Neurospora crassa OR74A: one gene and its partners. The protein of the gene in region 1 purifies or fractionates together with the protein of each later gene. This does not show direct contact. Links are inferred from orthologs where the notes say so. Each region holds a gene or a part of one and is shown in the gene's direction. Other genes may lie near its edges. The genes, in order: hsp98, NCU07874 and NCU02380.

Evidence for each region.
Region 2: the proteins of hsp98 (region 1) and NCU07874 purify together in Saccharomyces cerevisiae (affinity purification with mass spectrometry; 3 studies listed by BioGRID). This does not show direct contact. The link is inferred for Neurospora crassa OR74A from reciprocal best matches to the Saccharomyces cerevisiae genes HSP104 and PUB1.
Region 3: the proteins of hsp98 (region 1) and NCU02380 purify together in Saccharomyces cerevisiae (affinity purification with mass spectrometry, with the first as the bait; 3 studies listed by BioGRID). This does not show direct contact. The link is inferred for Neurospora crassa OR74A from reciprocal best matches to the Saccharomyces cerevisiae genes HSP104 and THS1.

The regions. Positions count from the first base shown.
Region 1 is NC_026503.1:2,634,528-2,640,451, reverse strand, and holds hsp98 (hsp98-like protein), read left to right. Parts: upstream 1-1,835; 5' UTR 1,836-2,330; coding exon 2,331-5,114; 3' UTR 5,115-5,539; downstream 5,540-5,924. Other genes in the region: NCU00105 (ribosome biogenesis protein NIP7), read right to left, coding at 107-193, 272-316. UniProt on the Saccharomyces cerevisiae protein: Required, in concert with Hsp40 (YDJ1) and Hsp70 (SSA1) and small Hsps (HSP26), for the dissociation, resolubilization and refolding of aggregates of damaged proteins after heat or other environmental stresses.
Region 2 is NC_026503.1:1,196,596-1,202,533, reverse strand, and holds the start of NCU07874 (nuclear and cytoplasmic polyadenylated RNA-binding protein pub1), read left to right. Parts: upstream 1-2,223; 5' UTR 2,224-3,179; coding exon 3,180-3,560; intron 3,561-3,682; coding exon 3,683-3,778; intron 3,779-3,855; coding exon 3,856-4,503; intron 4,504-4,557; coding exon 4,558-4,678; intron 4,679-4,735; coding exon 4,736-4,932; 3' UTR 4,933-5,938. UniProt on the Saccharomyces cerevisiae protein: May be associated with hnRNA within the nucleus and remains associated during nucleocytoplasmic mRNA transport, once the proteins are in the cytoplasm, disassembly of PUB1-RNA complexes may occur prior to PAB1 binding and formation of a translationally competent RNP complex.
Region 3 is NC_026507.1:2,696,766-2,702,703, reverse strand, and holds NCU02380 (threonyl-tRNA synthetase), read left to right. Parts: upstream 1-2,242; 5' UTR 2,243-2,406; exon of another isoform or gene 2,407-2,528; 5' UTR 2,529-2,584; coding exon 2,585-4,670; intron 4,671-4,744; coding exon 4,745-4,804; intron 4,805-4,862; coding exon 4,863-5,083; 3' UTR 5,084-5,510; downstream 5,511-5,938. Other genes in the region: mus-10 (mutagen sensitive-10 protein), read right to left, coding at 1-522, 585-747, 918-1,342; NCU02381 (phosphatidylserine synthase), read right to left, coding at 5,830-5,938.

The DNA.
Region 1 (5,924 bases):
TCGCAACGGCTGTCGTTGTCCTCGGTGGCGCACAGCCAAAAGGGAAGAGACGGTGTATCGAGCAAGGTCGAGAGGAAGCGAGGGAGGCGAGAGAGGCAGGACGTACGCGAGAGTGGTTCAGACGGAAAACGTATCTGTCGCCATCATCGAGAGGAGCGATAAGACTCTTGAGATCGGTGCAGTAGTTTGCAAGCTTTAGGGTGCCAAAGCAATCAGTCAGCTGTTGTTCATCCTTGTTTGAATATGACATTGTTTCGGCACTGAAACTGACCTTCTCGAAGACGGTCTTCTGCTCCGTTTCTGTAAGAGGGCGCATCTTGTCGGTGTGTTGTGAATTGATGGAGTTGGTGATGCAATGCGAGGGAATCTCCAAGCGCTGACAGCCGCAACCGATGGAGGTTCGCCCGCGTTTCTCTGCCAGAACTTTTTTTTATCGACAAGGAAACCCACTCTTCCGATAATGGGGAGACGCCAAGCCATCAATTCTCCGCTTTAGATGCAATGGCTGCAGTGGATACTCGTAGCTAAAATAGCCGAGTCCCACTTTTACCCGCTTCTACGTTTGCCGTGCGCGACCCCAGCGTGCCGCCCTAGCGACACTGTCACAGGCCGGCAACTGAAGTGACAACCTGAAGCGGATAATATGCCACATCCATGAAGTTTATATTTCCAGAGGGAACTCCTGCATCGCGATGTTCATCCAAGTCCTGGTGTGATGGAAGAAACAAACCCCAGTCGAGGCCAATGATCTCCAGCTGTATCCAGCGGGCTACTCTCTTTCAGGATTCGGTCCTCATCTACACGATTGTTTTCCTGCGCGGCGAGCCTGGCTGACTTCTCAATCGTCCTGGTAGCCCAGATTGCTGGCAGGGTTAACCGTGCAAGTTAGCTTTCCAGAGATTGTAATGCATATCGGAGTGATATCGCAGCAAAGAAGCTCGCTGTTCAACTGACAAAAGCGTAACTAGAAGGCCACTTGACGTTGGAAGTGGCAGCTTGTGGTTCTGGTCGTGAATGGGTCGAGCCATGGCCTTGCACCCATCAAAGAGGGATTATAAGTCAACTTCTACTGACACAAAAAGAAGCCAAACTAGTATCAAGCATCGAGTTGATCGATTGCCATTCAGACTCCTCAACCAGTGTCTCCGTTCCTGTCCGAGGTTCTCAAGTGGGGAGGTGTTGATGACTACATAGTGGCAAACGAGACGTGGGAGTATTGTGGTATAGAATACCACCGAATGCACCGAATTCATCCATCTCGAAGGAATATGAAGTGTGACCAACCAAACTGGCTCACGTTGGGCGCGCTGGTTAGAGGAATCTCATGATACCCAACCCACCACGATGCGCAACATTACGTATTCGACTATCTCGTCGTAGAAATCACGGATGCGCAAGGAGCTTCCCTTACGCGGTAATCGCCGAAGACCTTACTGCGCCTTCTTGGCCAGACCTGTAGATGGGAAAAGGTATGTATGGTGAGAGAGAGATGCTGGAGTGTGAGGATACCGACATTGTGGTTCGTCCAACTGGGAGAGAACGTCCCTTGTTGTTCATCTGCGCAAACGAAGACAAAGAACAACGGTGAAGGATTATAGTGGAAGGAGAAGACGGAAGTGAAAAGAAGCATTGCAGTAACGTCCAGCTGTTTGGGTCTCGACAATCCTCTCTGGTTGGAGTCAGGTCGATGCAGGTACTGCGATGACGGAGAGACAGTCCGAAAGCGCGGACCCCACTGGAAAGCTTCCATGTGCCCCGCCCTCCAGGTACCCACTTTATACCCCTCAAGCCCGAACAGGAGCCAACAGTATATGGTGACAGGAAGACCGCTGAAGATTCGAGTCGCTTCGTTCTTGCGGGCAGCCTGCTTGCTTGTCACTATGATGTCGTCGCTTCCCGTGCGCCCGCCCGCACAGCTACCTCTACTTGCGACAGGCTGCGAGGACCATCGAGAAGCAGCTAGAGGTAGATACTCATCCCACTTGCTCTTGCACGGCCAGCTCGGGCATCAACTCGCGACTTCTCTCCCCACCAAGGCTCACGAATAAATTCCACTCCTTCTGACCTCTCCCCCCCGTCAGCGATTCTTTGTTTGTTCCCCAGATCAAAACACAAAAGTCTACTAAGAGATACCCCAAACACAATTGTTCTTTTCTTCTCCAAGATATACATCAAGAGTGAAGCCTCACGTCACACTAGCTTCATCTCAACATTTCCGCGATTTTTCTCTTTTGTACATCAACAATAACACATACACACACACCCCCAATCGAAACACAACACCACACAAATTCTGTAGGGACCAACAGAGTCTCGCACACTAATTCATCATGACGTCGAAAATGGAATTTACAGACCGGGCCAAGAAGGCATTGGAGGATGCCATGGCCCTGGCAGAGCAATACGCCCACTCGCAACTCCTCCCCGTTCATCTGGCAGTCGCGCTTCTCGACCCTCTCCCAGATCCGAGCAAGGACCAGCAAAATGCACCAGCCGGGGCAACCAGCTCTCTCTTCCGCCAAGTCATTGAGAGAGCCCACGGCGATCCCCAGCTGTTCGACCGCGCCCTCAAGAAGGCCCTCGTCCGCCTCCCCAGCCAAGACCCTCCTCCCGACCATGTCTCGATGGCTCCTTCCTTCCATACAGTCCTGCGCAAGGCCAACGAGCTGCAGAAGACGCAAAAAGACACATACATTGCCGTCGACCACCTTATCACAGCCCTGGCCGAGGAGCCCTCGATCATGAATGCGCTCAAGGAGGCCAACATTCCCAAGCCAAAGCTCGTTACCGATGCCATCCAGGCCATTCGCGGTACCAAGCGCGTCGACTCTCGCAATGCTGACACTGAAGAGGAGCACGAGAATCTCGCCAAGTTCACCATTGATATGACAGCCATGGCCAGGGAAGGCAAGATTGATCCCGTCATTGGTCGTGAGGAGGAAATTCGGAGAGTGATCCGTATTCTTTCACGTCGTACCAAGAACAACCCTGTCCTTATCGGTGAGCCTGGTGTCGGTAAGACTACCGTCGTTGAGGGTCTCGCTCAGCGCATCGTCAACGCTGATGTGCCCGACAATCTGGCCAACTGCAAGCTTCTGTCTCTTGATGTCGGTGCCCTGGTGGCTGGTAGCAAGTACAGGGGTGAGTTTGAAGAGCGCATGAAGGGAGTTCTGAAGGAGATCTCCGAGTCCAAGGAGATGATCATCCTTTTCATCGATGAAATCCATTTGCTCATGGGCGCTGGCGCGTCCGGAGAAGGTGGCATGGATGCGGCCAACCTTTTGAAGCCAATGCTCGCCCGTGGTCAGCTTCACTGCATTGGCGCTACCACCCTGGCCGAGTACCGCAAGTACATCGAGAAGGATGCTGCCTTTGAACGTCGTTTCCAGCAGGTCATTGTCAAGGAGCCTTCCGTTTCTGAGACAATCTCCATTCTACGTGGTCTCAAGGAGAAGTACGAGGTGCACCATGGTGTCACTATTTCCGATGCTGCCATTGTGGCCGCTGCAAATCTTGCGGCCCGCTACCTCACTTCCCGCAGACTTCCTGATTCGGCTATCGATTTGATCGACGAGGCGGCTGCCGCAGTCAGAGTCGCTCGAGAATCGCAGCCCGAAATCATCGATTCCTTGGAGCGCAAGTTGCGTCAGCTCAAGATTGAGATTCACGCCTTGTCTCGCGAGAAGGATGAGGCTTCCAAGGCTCGTCTTGAACAGGCGAAGAAGGATGCCGAGAATGTGGAGGAGGAGCTCAGACCCCTCCGTGAGAAATACGAACAGGAGAAACAGAGAGCCAAGGCTCTCCAGGAAGCCAGGATGAAGCTTGAGAGCTTGAGACAAAAGGCCGAAGAGGCTAGCAGAATGGGAGATCACAGCCGTGCTGCTGATCTTCAGTATTACGCCATCCCCGAGCAGGAGGCAGTAATCAAGAGGCTTGAGAAGGAAAAGGCTGCGGCTGACGCTGCGCTCAACGCCGCTGCGGCCGAAACCGGCGGTGCCATGATCACCGATGTCGTTGGTCCCGATCAGATCAACGAGATTGTAGCACGGTGGACCGGTATTCCCGTCACACGCCTCAAGACCAGCGAGAAGGAGAAGCTTTTGCACATGGAGAAGCATCTCAGCAAGATTGTTGTCGGTCAGAAGGAGGCCGTTCAGTCTGTGTCCAACGCTATCAGACTGCAGCGGTCGGGTCTCTCCAACCCCAACCAGCCTCCCAGCTTCCTGTTCTGCGGTCCTTCGGGTACCGGTAAGACTCTGCTCACCAAGGCTCTTGCCGAGTTCCTGTTTGATGATCCTAAGGCCATGATCCGTTTCGACATGTCTGAGTATCAGGAGCGTCACTCTCTCAGCCGCATGATTGGTGCTCCTCCCGGCTACGTCGGTCACGACTCTGGTGGCCAGCTGACTGAGGCCCTTCGCCGCAAGCCGTTCTCCATCCTTCTCTTTGACGAGGTTGAAAAGGCAGCCAAGGAGGTCTTGACCGTTCTGCTACAGCTCATGGATGACGGTCGTATCACGGACGGTCAGGGCAGAGTCGTCGATGCCAGGAACTGCATCGTTGTCATGACGTCTAACTTGGGTGCTGAGTACCTTTCTCGTCCCAACGCCAAGGACGGCAAGATTGATCCAACCACTCGCGAGCTTGTCATGAACGCCCTGCGCAACTACTTCCTTCCCGAGTTCCTCAACCGTATCAGCTCAATTGTCATCTTCAACCGTCTCACTCGTCGCGAGATCCGCAAGATTGTCGAGCTACGCATTGCGGAAATCCAGAAGCGGCTCCAAGACAACGATCGCAATGTCAAAATCGAGGTGTCGGAAGAAGCCAAAGACAAGCTGGGTGCTCTTGGTTACTCGCCAGCTTATGGCGCTAGACCACTGCAACGTGTGCTTGAGAAGGAGGTTCTGAACCGCTTGGCCGTTTTGATCCTCCGTGGCAGCATCCGCGACGGTGAGGTTGCCAGGGTTGTCGTCCAAGACGGCAAGATTACAGTCCTTCCCAACCATCCCGAGGTCAATGATGAGGACGACGAAATGATGTTGGATGAGGAAGACGCAGTTGACGAGGTTGCGCCGGAATCTGAGATGGATGAGGATCTTTACGACGACTAGATGTCTAATAGGAAAGATGACTCAGTCATGCGCGACGACGTAGAGGTGGACTAGGAGGATTAGTGAAGAAGATAATCGTGGACGCCCCGAGTGTTAGGGAGACGGAAATTTGGTATCATGACTTGAGGAATTTGAAAATGGGATAGCCTTCGGGGTTTAAAGCATGCACATTTTGCATTTGGAGTTTGGGGCCTGTATGTTTAGGTACGTTACATGATATGAAACGAAAGATGTTATGATTCACATGAGGTAGACATGATGTATCTAAAAGAACGGCGGAGAATTGATTCTGAAGATTTAGTGGGAATCAAAATCATGTGTTTACATCAGCCGTGGTCCTTGACATACACTAGGTACATATGATACTCTCCTTCCGCGTACAGTGCAAAGATCATATACAACTTAGCTACTACCGTAACAAAGCTGATTCCGTGTTGCCACGATGACTGAAGTGAACTGCTAAATGGTGAACAAATGTGATTATGGTGTGAGTCTAACGCACCGGTCTCAGACCGTTCCCCAGTCTTGGGTCAAGGGCGAACAAGTAGTCTCGGTTCCTTGCAATAGATGTCCCGTCTTGTGTGTATGTAAGTTGATTACATGGGAGGAGGATCCGGCAAAGTGCCGACCGGCTTGCTGGTTAGACCCGACTGTTGTTGAGCATGAGCAGACGGCCAAAAACAAAGCTACCCCGACCTCAACCACATAACTGGAAGGTAGGCTTGTCTCGGATGAACCCCAAAAGCTTGTCAATTTGGATCCAGGGAATTTGTCAAAACGCAGGAGCAGGATTGTTTACACGAGATATGT
Region 2 (5,938 bases), about 1.4 Mb from region 1:
GTGACAATGGTCGCGCAGCAAAGTGGGATGTTGACGCATATAAATCCCGGGGAATTGTTTTGCTTAGACGGCGGGCAGACAAAGGGGGTCGTCCAGGGTCAAGGCAATCCACGCATGGACAAGTTCCTATCTCCCTGTTGCTGTGCGAGCACACACTCCAGGGATAAACTTCTGATAAATATGGTATCTGAACTCTTCAGGCTCGATGGAACTATGACCTCGCGTCTGATCCAGTGGTGGTTGAATTGAGAGGTATCTGGATCAAGGTTCTGGGTGACTGCAAATGAAGGTTGTCCAAGGTCGTATGAAACCTGGAAGTTGAGGGGATACTGAATGGAACTTGAAGTGGGAATTCAAACAAATGGAAGAATGGTGGGATGTTACTTATGCGGTGTTCAGAAGCTGATGGATGGTAGCTGCTCTGCACCTTGGAGGGGCCGGTGCTGGTATGTAGGTAGGTAGGTAGTAGGTAATTCCAGTTCTAGCGTCGGAGTGTGCAGTCGGGTCCCTGGAACCTCCGCGCGGTTGAGGCTCTTTGTGGGGTTGAAAGGCGTGGGTGCCTTGACCGCCAGCGTCGGGTGCTTCCCCGAGTTGGCCTTGTCGTTCCCGCAATGAAATCCAGGGGACGGGGCGACGGGCCCAGAGGGCAGACAGAATCACCTCACACAGATCCAGCAAAAAAAGGTTCCCTTGCGATGGGACTGTCCGTTTAAGCTTCATCTTGACCACCAATTGCTGTTTATTCAGCGGTTACACAAACTAGAAGCTCTGCGAATCCACTCGATTCAACCCCACACGTAAAGGCTGTATTGTTGCTCGACTAGGTTTAGTTTGAGCTGTCAATAGGTACCTGGCAATTAGCACGGCAGTCAATGACCTATTGTGCGAAAAAGCGGCTGCCGTAAACTCCTCCGTTCGTCACTCTCTACTGCCATACGTCCTGCCAAAGAAGGTATAATTATATATAACTGTGACTTTACTGGACAGAGTGCCAAACCCTCATTGACACAATGAGCCGTTACAGTGGTCGGCGATGACAGATCGGCCCAGCTGGCCGTTCCGTCGTGCTCCATTGGCACGTGTTGGGCGGACTGATGAGATGGAGGGCGAGTCGGGTCATGCATTCACTGCAAGTATCACCCCGGTCTACCCACGCGTTCCATCCCCCTTTTATAGAAAACCATCCAGGTGCCTGCGTTGCGAATGTGGCATGTTCAGCATATTCAGCCCGCGATGAGGTTGTACCGACATCTCTGCATGGATATAAAAGGGCAGTGCCGTTTTGGAGAATGGCAGGGAATGGTATATCTCTTTTGTGTCCATGCAGAGGTGTAGGGCTGGTAAAATCATAGTGTATTTCGTTTCTGCCAAGGTCGTCACAGGGCGCATTGATGATCTCGAAGGGAAAGGAAAGCTTCCAGTTCGAGAATGGAAGAGGGGACCAAACCAAGAAAGCCTGAACCTTGAACCCTTTGGGAGTCAATATCTCAGCTACCCACGACACAGTGTGGTTGGCTACCTTGGCGCCTTGCCTCCAGCCCCCGGGCCGTGAACCAACAACAACTAACCTCCTCGATACCCTCAGCACACACCCATTCATATCTGGTGCTCCGCCTTCAGGATCAAAATGATCAGAATAGGTATGGACAGACAACACGCAAGTCGATGAACGGGAATATACTGATACTCGGACTCCTCGTATCTGTGGTATATATCAGACTATAACAGGTACCTAGGTCCCTTAGCGCCTTACTGGTCAATAGTTTCGATACCTCTACGTCCCAACGATCATAGGAACCACATATGGCATCCATTTACTCAATCAGAGCTCTTGATTCTCTAGACTTTACTCCTATGTTGACACCAAAACGCCCAGAACCTCCATGGTTCTTTCGTTCGAGATTGCTACGGCACGTGTGAAGAAAGGGTTGATTACGAGTATCAGCCCTAGATAAAGACGGCGACGGCCAGTTACTACCTAGGTATACTCTGGTTGCTCGTGCCCGTCCACCAGTGCGAATCGAATCGGCCGGTCATGATCCAACCTGCCTCTGGAGTTCGTCCCGCCCCTCCTCCGCTCTGCAAATGTGCCTTTCTGTCCCTTGACCCTTCCGTCCTCGCGTCTCAGTGGCTGCCTGCCCGCCAATCCCAGGACGATGGCACCATCAAAAATCCCCGTCTTCCCTTCCCCTCCCGTCCTCGTCGCATCTTTCAGAGCTCACCCCGGGCCGTCTTCTCCATCAGGCTCATTGTCAGCTCCAAATGTTTCCCCCCCTTCTCCCTATCTTCTTCTCCCACCGAACAACACCATCGCAGAAGAAACCCAGACAAGTCATCTCTTCGGACAGGCTGTTGTGAATCTCGGGGCGTTTCCTTTTGGGTTTACGGCCGTTTTCCAGTTCATCTTGTCTTTCTTGACTATTTTGCTGTTTAGTTCAGGTCATCACTGCAGTTCCCCTTCTTCTTTTACTTACCTAGTTCCCCTTGTCGGTTATTCGACTGACCGTCACCAACCCATCATCCCTGTCCTCTACTGTTCGCATCAACGGGAGCCATCCTCGTCCCCCGTCTCCGCATCGTCATCGTCCCTGGCTTCAGCTGCTGTTCGCCGGCTCAACAACGATCGCGTGTCTAGACCCCCGATACACGCCGAGATCTCCAGCCATCTACGACAGTGCCATTCCGTTCAGATTCCTTCCATTTCGTGGGCGCAAAGTTTGTCTGTGCACCCAACAGTCTCCTACCCACAGCGAGTCTGCTCCACCGAACGGCCTCCGTTTGCCATCCCATCTTGCGCTACCGCACTGCGCCCGCCCGCCTGTAACTACTATAAAACGAGCTACAAGAACGTGGCCGAGACTCGAGCAATCTTCTTCCGTCGCATCTTTCGCGCGGGGTCAATTTTCTTTTTGCAATAAGAAGTCTGCATCTCCCCGACTGTGATCGGTCAGGTCTTCCTTCTTGCAAGCTTATTCAGTTTCCAGTCAAAGTCCGCTGGAAATTACAGTCGCAGACGCTCCCGTAGTCGTCTACAATCACTGCCTCACCCCATCGTTTCAACAGCTGCTTATAGTGGGGCCTGCTTCGCCAAGGAGGGTCTCTGCGCTGCTCGTCCCCCAATCATCGCCATCGCCGCTCTGCTCGTTGATTTCTACCAGATCCTCGACCATTTCTCCGACATGGCTGACGTTGGCCCGCCTCCCACCACCGGACAGCTTCCCCCTCCACCTCAACCAAACGCAGGCGCGCCCGGCTACGAGAACGGTCAAAACAACAACGCGAATTCCGCACACATGCCTCCTCCGCCGCTGCACATCCCGCAAAACACCAATCCCATCCCTACGGCGATTACGTCGCCCATGGGTGGGAACGGTGACACGAGCGGCATCATGTCGCCCACCAGCGCCGGCAACCCCTTCGGCCGCCGCGCCGCCCCCGAGCCGAACAAGCGCGCTCTCTACGTCGGCGGCCTTGACCCTAGGGTCACCGAGGACGTCTTGAGACAGATTTTCGAGACGACTGGCCATGTCCAGAATGTCAAAATTATTCCCGACAAGAACGTGGGTAAACCTGGCTCCGAGCAGCCGCGAGTTAGTTCATTTTTCACATCAGCCTGTTGAGGCTGCCAGTTTGATTCCTTGACGCCCAAGACATTCTGCTAACAATTCAGGATGACAAACAGCAAAAGGGCTACAACTACGGCTTCGTTGAGTATGATGATCCCGGTGCGGCTGAGCGTGCTATGCAGACGCTCAACGGTCGGCGCGTGCATCAGTCCGTAAGTTCGCCCATTCCACATTACGAATCTTTGGCCATGATTCCATAGAGCAGAGCTGACCACCGGTAATTATGCAGGAAATCCGTGTCAACTGGGCCTACCAGTCGAACAACCAGAACAAGGAGGATACTTCGGGCCACTTCCACATCTTCGTCGGCGATCTCTCCAACGAAGTCAACGACGAGGTTCTGCTTCAGGCCTTTTCTGCCTTTGGCTCCGTCTCCGAGGCTCGAGTCATGTGGGACATGAAGACTGGTCGCTCCCGCGGCTATGGCTTCGTTGCTTTCCGCGACCGTCCCGATGCCGAGAAGGCTCTGAGCTCTATGGATGGCGAATGGCTTGGATCTCGTGCCATTCGTTGCAACTGGGCCAACCAGAAGGGTCAGCCTTCCATTGCTCAACAGCAAGCTATGCAGCAGATGGGTCTTACTCCCACCACTCCTTATGGCCACCACCACTTCCCTACCCACGGAGTTCACAGCTATGACATGATTGTCGCCCAGACCCCTGCTTGGCAGACGACCTGCTATGTCGGCAACCTGACTCCTTACACCACTCAGAATGACCTCGTGCCCCTTTTCCAGAACTTCGGCTACGTCGTCGAGTCTCGTTTCCAGGCCGATCGCGGCTTTGCATTCATCAAGATGGACACTCACGAGAATGCTGCCATGGCCATCTGCCAGCTTAATGGGTATCAGGTCAATGGTCGGCCTTTGAAGTGCAGCGTAAGTGACAATCTCTTATCTTGGACGAGGACATTATTAACCTTTCGTGTGTAGTGGGGCAAGGACAAGACGCCCAACCCTCAACAGTTCGACCCAAACCAGCCTTATAGCCCTCAGAGTGCCCAGACGCCTGGTTATCCCGGCACTCCCTCCACTTATTTCAATAACTATGGCAGTGAGTCTTGACTCGGTGAACTAGTCTCTACATGTCAGCCGCTAATGCACAAAGTAGACTCTTACCCAGGCCAGCAAGGTAACTACAACGGCCCTCAAGCTCAGTCACCTGCCGGCTACGGCTCCCAGATGGGTTACAACGGCCCGCCGAGCGCTGGTGGTTATGGCCGTGGTCAGCCCGGTCCCAACGCCCAGTGGAACCAGCCGTCCCCAGCCCAGAACTTCGGCAATGGGTTTGGTGGTTACCAGGGCTAGAAGCCTAAGAAGCCTCGGTGAGCAGTTGCTTAGTAGTGGTCACAGCATGGGCCACGTCTCTTTTCCGTTCTATTGAAACGCCTTTGCCATGTGGTGGAAAAGTTAATGGCTTTCTCAGCTCCAACTAGAGGTGGGAGGCTTTGCGGCTGCATTCGTGTTAGGATGGTTCTTTTTCACACATCCAGGATGGAAAAAAATCCTCGCTCAAGTCCGGTTGATCAAGGACTGGATTTTGGAACTGGAAGTCATTTTGTTGGGAATTTGGGAGCCTGTCTTCTTTACTTCTCTGGTCTCATGTATCACTCACTGCTCTTCCTTCTTTTCTTTTATCTCTGACCTGTCAAGTTTCGAATGCGTTTTCTTTCTCGCGCTTTCTTCTCTATCTTCGTTTCTCTGAGTGATTCCCACGGGCCAATGGTTCTTTCTGCAAGTTCTTCTCCGTTTGGGTTTTGTGTAATTTCCTTCGGTTTTCTCTCCTCTTCTCTCAAGCTACGATCGAAACGTCTTATCTTACTCTACACTTCTACGTTTGCTAGGTGTTTCTCTCTCGTCTTCCTGATGATATGTTTCCAAAATCTTTCCAACGCTGGATACCAGATTTTCACAAAAGTTAAGTCAGTTTCGAGGTCTTTTACCAGAACACGTCACGACAAGATCTCTTCTTCCCTTTGGCGGTTCTCCAATTTCGTCTCCTTCAGCATTTCAATTCGATGTGTACGCAAGATTCAAGGCGGCATTTTTCTTCCGATATACCCATTGCGCGTTTCCTACCGTTGTATTTTCGTGGGCCTTTGGATGTTTCTTAAACAGATACCCATTTTCCACGTTCCGTTTTCCGGTACGCGATTTCATCTCACGTAGCATCATGTCCTTCAAAATGTACGTTATACCCTTGAAGGACTTAGTAAATGAGGAGGGTAGACTTGTATGAGTCTTTGTATAGAATTGGATGTCCAACAAGCCTCTAGATCGCCGTTTAAAACTTTTGGACTGGATCCAGATGACC
Region 3 (5,938 bases), on another chromosome or scaffold:
GATATTGGCCGCTGTTCGGAGGACGATGATTGGCACAGGCGACGCCCTCAGAAACACCTCTGACCCTTGAGTCCAGCCCAACTCGACCAGTGCCCTCCTAAGCTCATCAAGTGTGACCTCCCCATCCCACTTGTAAGGGTTCAGATACATAGTTTCCGGTTCGGCTTTGGGGTCCTCTTCCACATCACCATCCAAGGTCATACCTGGAGGAGCCTTCACAGACGCGTGGACATGGCTCGGGAATGCACAACATGCGCTTGACATGCCGAGGCGTTCGGCAACCGAAGCAAATATGGCGCTCGAGATTATGGGAAGTGACGGATGCTCGTCGTCAGACAGGGCGTGCCCTAGAAGGCAGTTCCTCAGGTTGTGGTAGTTGACGGTCTCGTTCTCCATCCCCATGAGATTCTGGGCCCTCAGCCAGCGATTCAAGGCTAGAGCCTTCTGCCTTGTCGACATGATCTTATGTTCTGGGTGCTCCAGCATAAATCTCTGAGCGAGCGTGTCTAGTGTGCTTAGTATCTGTGGAGGAAAATAAGTGTGAGCTAACATGCATCCGCCGCGAGAGATGGCGTTCAACATACGTATTCAAGGTCTTGGGGCTGGTCGTGTAGAACGAACAGGTCGAATGCGCCGAGAGCACGGTCGAGCCCCGAGTACGGATCGGTCCCCGTTTCATAGCACTTAGACCATACCTCTACAGCCATGCCTCTGTGGATACTGTCCAATGCTGAATTCGCATAGTACCTGGATGAACATTTCAGTAACCGAACGGTCTTTGGATCTAGACAAATCCCACTTGGGCCGAGCATGAATGAGATGCCACCATCAGAGGGGGATCAACTGATACACAAGACCCTTGCGTGCAGTGTACGTGAAATACCAAGCTGCATTGCCGTAAGAGAGCTGCCGCGTACCTTCTGGCCAGAACGTCATCGTGGGATTCATCGACGTGACATTGCTCCAAAAGAAAGTCCTTGGCGTCGTAACCGAACTGACAGATGCGCTGGAGATTCTTCAGCTGGTGGTATCTCGTTGTGAGGATCTCGTCCAGGAGGCGTTTAATCAAGTGGTTCTGCCTTTTCCTTCGAAGCCATAGCTTCTTCCACTCGATAGTAGTTGGTCTCGGGTCCGACAGTTTCGCGAAGAAGCAGTGTTCAGGCTCCCAGAAAGTAAACGAGTTTCGGCAAAGATATCGCCATAAGAGCGGTTCGTTGGCAATGTGGTAGAAACGCCGCGAGACTGGCTGAATGTTCAGGACGTTGTCCTCGGGCGAGACATATAGAAGGATGTGGCGGATGAGCTCATCGGGAAAACGGTCCAGTGAGGAGGAGGACGTCATGGCGCGGCTCGCCAGGTGCACACCCAAGGTGTGTTGGCTGCCAATATATGTGCGCGTCTCGCAACTGCTGGTCCGGATCCTGGACGCTGAGTTGTCGGGAGCTGATTTGTTCAAGACGTCAGAGGTATGGAGAAAGAGTTCAGCTCTGGGATTCGGGGTCCAGAGTCGAGGAGACTGTCGAGCGGAAATCCAGCGATGTGCTTGTACTGGGGGCAGATCGGCACAGGGAAGAGGGACGGGAGTGCAGAAGCAAAGTGGAAGCCAGAGAGGCAGACGGTAACCTTTTTGTTCTTCTTCTTTTTTCTTTCTCCGCGTGCCGGGATGAGGTTGAACAATCAATGTGTCATCCTTCCCGTCACTTCTGCTCCGGCGTCACATTAGTGGTAAAGGCAAAACTTAGTTAGAATGGGAGGCGTCTCGGTACCTGGAATTTGAATGACGGCACCTTATCTAATAAATTTGGCTTTTATTATCGCGAGGTCAGGCAGGCACCTATGACTTGCGGCCCGTATGGTAAGGTGCCAAAAGTTCAAAGTTGGGACGGCGCAACGGCGTAGAAGAGATGGCCCGAGCGTCTGCTCTTACTGTGTATACACTATGCAGTACCTTGCGTACTGGTGTAAGTACTTGCAGTGTAAGTGCCTCTACTGCCTTTACGCGCACTTGATGTTTGTACATATGGCTCGCAGGTGTTCGTTCAATGTTCAAAAAATTAGAGTGCACGTGTCTCGCTGCTGTCTGGGCTGCTCCGTCTTGTTGAGTGCCTGTCCGGGCGGCCGCCATTGAGGTTGCCAAACAGTACCTAGGTGCCGCCCTGTCCGTGTCATGACTGCTGCCCTTCCGGGTCTGATATGTACCTATGCGGCTTCCACCTCGTGCTCGCAGCAGAAGTGACGCCTGTACGCTTTGAAGCACCCCACTTTTGCCCTTAACTGATCTGGACCGCGGGGTAAAAGTGTCCCAAAATTTCCCCTTGCGGTCGGTGTCTTTGCGCCGCCTTCGTTCGTTCCGTTCCTCGTCGGTCCAGACGTCCCCTTCTGTGCTGCTATCGTGTCGTGTCAAGAGTGAGTCTCACCCCCCCTTCCTTTCCAACATTTCGTCCCTCTTCGGGCTATTGCGACCATACACGTCTAAAGTGAGTCACAGCCCGGGCCTCTGACACAACCCGCGAAATCGTTATCTTTAGGAACCCTTCAATCGCAACCGAACACCCCCTCCGACGTTCTGTCGACACATTTCAACATGGAGCAGGTTACCGAAAAAGTTACCGAGACCCTCAAGAAGGTCGCCATTGGCGGCGACAAGCCCCAGAAGGAGAAGAAGCAGAAGAAGGAGAAGGGTGCCCCCGCCGCTGGCGGCGATGCCGGCCCTCTTGAGATGAACCCTCCTCCTGCCTTTATCCAGGAGCGTCTCGACCTGTTCGACAAGCTTTACAAGGAGCAGCAGGAGGAGCTGGCCAAGCGCCCCCGCGATGACATCCTCATCACCATGCCCGACGGCACCACCAAGACCGGCAAGGCCTACGAGACCACCCCCGCCGAGATCGCAAAGGGCATTTCCAACAGCCTCTTCAAGCGCACCGTTGTCGCCAGAATCGACGGAGAGACACTATGGGATCTGGAGCGTCCTCTCGAGAAGAGCTGCAAACTAGAACTCCTCGACTTCAACGATGATCAGGGCAAGTTCGTTTTCTGGCACTCGAGTGCCCACATCCTCGGCGAGGCCTGCGAGCGCAGATTCGGCTGCTCTCTGTGCATTGGCCCCCCCGTCGACAACGGCTTCTACTACGAAATGGCTCTTCCCGGCGGTGCCGCTGTCCAGTCTAGCGACTGGGCACCCCTCGAGAACATCGTCACCAAGATCGTCAAGGAGAAGCAGCCTTTCCAGAGACTGGAGATGAGCAAGGAGGATCTGCTCAAGATGTTCGCCTACAACCCATACAAGCAACACATCATCAAGGACAAGATCCCCGACGGCACCAGAACCACTGTCTACCGTAACGGGCCCCTTATCGATCTCTGCCGTGGTCCTCACGTCCCCGACACCAGCAGGATCGAGGCTTTCGCCATCATGAAGAACTCCTCTTCCTACTTCCTTGGTGACGCCAACAACGACTCCCTCCAGCGTATCTATGGTGTCTCGTTCCCCGACAAGAAGCAGATGGCCGCTCACAAGAAGTTCCTTGAGGAAGCTGCCAAGCGCGATCACCGCCTCATTGGCAAGCAGCAGGAGCTTTTCTACTTCGAGGAGTGCTCGCCCGGCTCTGCCATGTGGCTGCCCCACGGCATGCGCATCAACAACGCCATCATGGAATACATCAAGGAGGAGTACTGGAAGCGCGGTTACGACGAGGTCATGACTCCCAACATGTTCAACGTCGCTCTTTGGGAGCAGTCCGGTCACTTGGCTCACTACAAGGATGACATGTTTATTCTCGACGTTGACAAGGAGCAGTTTGGTCTGAAGCCCATGAACTGCCCTGCTCACGCCATGATGTTCCGTCACCGTGACCGCAGCCACAAGGAGCTTCCCCTCAGGCTTGCTGATTTCGGTGTGCTCCACAGAAACGAGGCCAGTGGTGCTCTCTCTGGCCTTACCCGTGTGCGCAGATTCCAGCAGGATGACGCTCATATCTTCTGCCGTGAGGATCAGATCAAGGCCGAGGTTGCCGACCTCTTCGACTTCATGAAGTCCTTCTACGGCATGCTTGGCCTCACCTTCAAGCTGAAGCTCTCTACCCGCCCTGAGAAGTACATGGGTGAGATTGAGACCTGGGACCGCGCCGAGGCTCGTCTCAAGGAGGCTCTCAACGAGTTCGTCGCTGCTACTGGAGGCACCTGGGAGCTGAACGAGGGCGATGGTGCCTTCTACGGCCCCAAGATCGATATCGCTGTTTTGGACTGCCTCAACCGCCCCTGGCAGTGCGCCACCATCCAGCTCGACTTCCAGCAGCCCATCAACTTCTCTCTCGAGTACATGACCGCTGATGCCCAGGCCAAGCAGGATGAGGACAAGGCTGCCTCCAAGGCTGCTAAGCCTGAAGCTCCCAAGGAGGAGGAAGAGGCTCCCAAGGAGGGCGAGGAGAAGAAGAAGAAGGCTCTTCTTGTCAAGAAGCCCCTTACTGCCGGCTGCGCCCGCCCCGTCATGATTCACCGTGCCATGGCTGGTTCCATCGAGCGCTTCACTGCCATTCTTGCCGAGCACTTCGCCGGCAAGTGGCCTTTCTGGATGTCGCCCCGCCAGGTCATGGTCATTCCCGTTGGCATGGGCTTCCTTGATTACGCCAAGGAGGTTGCCTTGACCCTCAAGAAGGAGAAGATCCACGTCGGTATGTTTTCCCTGACTCACCCCCGTTATTGGGCAAACAAAAATCGAATACTGACACCAAAACCACCACAACAGATGTCGATAGCAGTGGCAACACCCTCCAGAAGAAGATTCGTTCTGCCCAGCTTGCCCAATGTAAGTCGCGAGCCTGTTCCCCTTTACCAAAATTGCCCCTTCTAATGACGCAACACAGACAACTTCATCTTTGTCGTCGGCGACGACGAGAAGACCAACCGCAAGGTCAACATCCGTTACCGTGACGACACCTCCACCCAGGCCCGTGACGTGCCCTACTCTCTCGAGGAGGCCGTCGAGAAGCTTCGCGCGCTCAAGGCCGATCGCGGCATGTACAACCCTTTCCCTGCCCATAACCCCAAGAAGGAGGAGGCTACCAAGGAGGAGGTCAAGGCTTAAAGCTCCAGCTCAACTTAGGGAGTACATGAAGCAAAAGAAATAACAAACTCAAATTTAAAAGTTCATGTTGGCAGCAAGGGGGCGGCGTAGGCAGGAGTATGGGTTATAGTCATCTAGCATATGCTTGTTACAGAACGGTAGAGAAAGAGGCGAATATTTTTGTTAAATCTTATACTAAGGAGCCTTTGATATTCTTTGGAAATGGTTTGGTGGTCTGTCGCTCGGGCGCACTGGTGCTTCTGCATAGACCTAAACACTGCATATCAGAAGAAATGATTTCGCGTAGACAGGATACGGACAAGAAGGCGAAGACGGGAAAAAGAGAGAGGGTATTTGTATTCTAAAATGGAAAAGCGTGTACACACTCGCACTACACAATGCAGCCAACCGGATAGTGACCAGAAAGGAAAATGGCAGGAAAAAAAAGAGAGCAGGCATGATAGTCATTTCAACAATTCTCAGAAACCCCCCAGACCCACGGCTAGTTCCTTCTTCTTCTTCTTTCACTTTTTAAGTTTTCTTTTTGTCTCCGCTTTCCATCTGTTAAAGAATTCCCCGTCTTTTGCTTTCCTGCCCAAGACCTTTCTGTCTCTCAATCTTCCCTTTCTCTTCACCGACGTTCAACTCGTAGCGGGCTTCTTCCTTATTGAAATCCAGGCCTTTACCTTTCCATAAACCAACTCAATCATCCCCGTCCCTCGTTCCTTGCGGCACAAGTTCGTAGACCCTAGTCCGTCTTTATGCTTTCAAGGCTTGGGAATATGAATGGTCTTGCTTGTCATCAAGCAGCCGTGGAGCATGAAGATGAGGACAATGGGGTGGAATTCGAGCGCGGTGCCCTGGAACATGGTACCC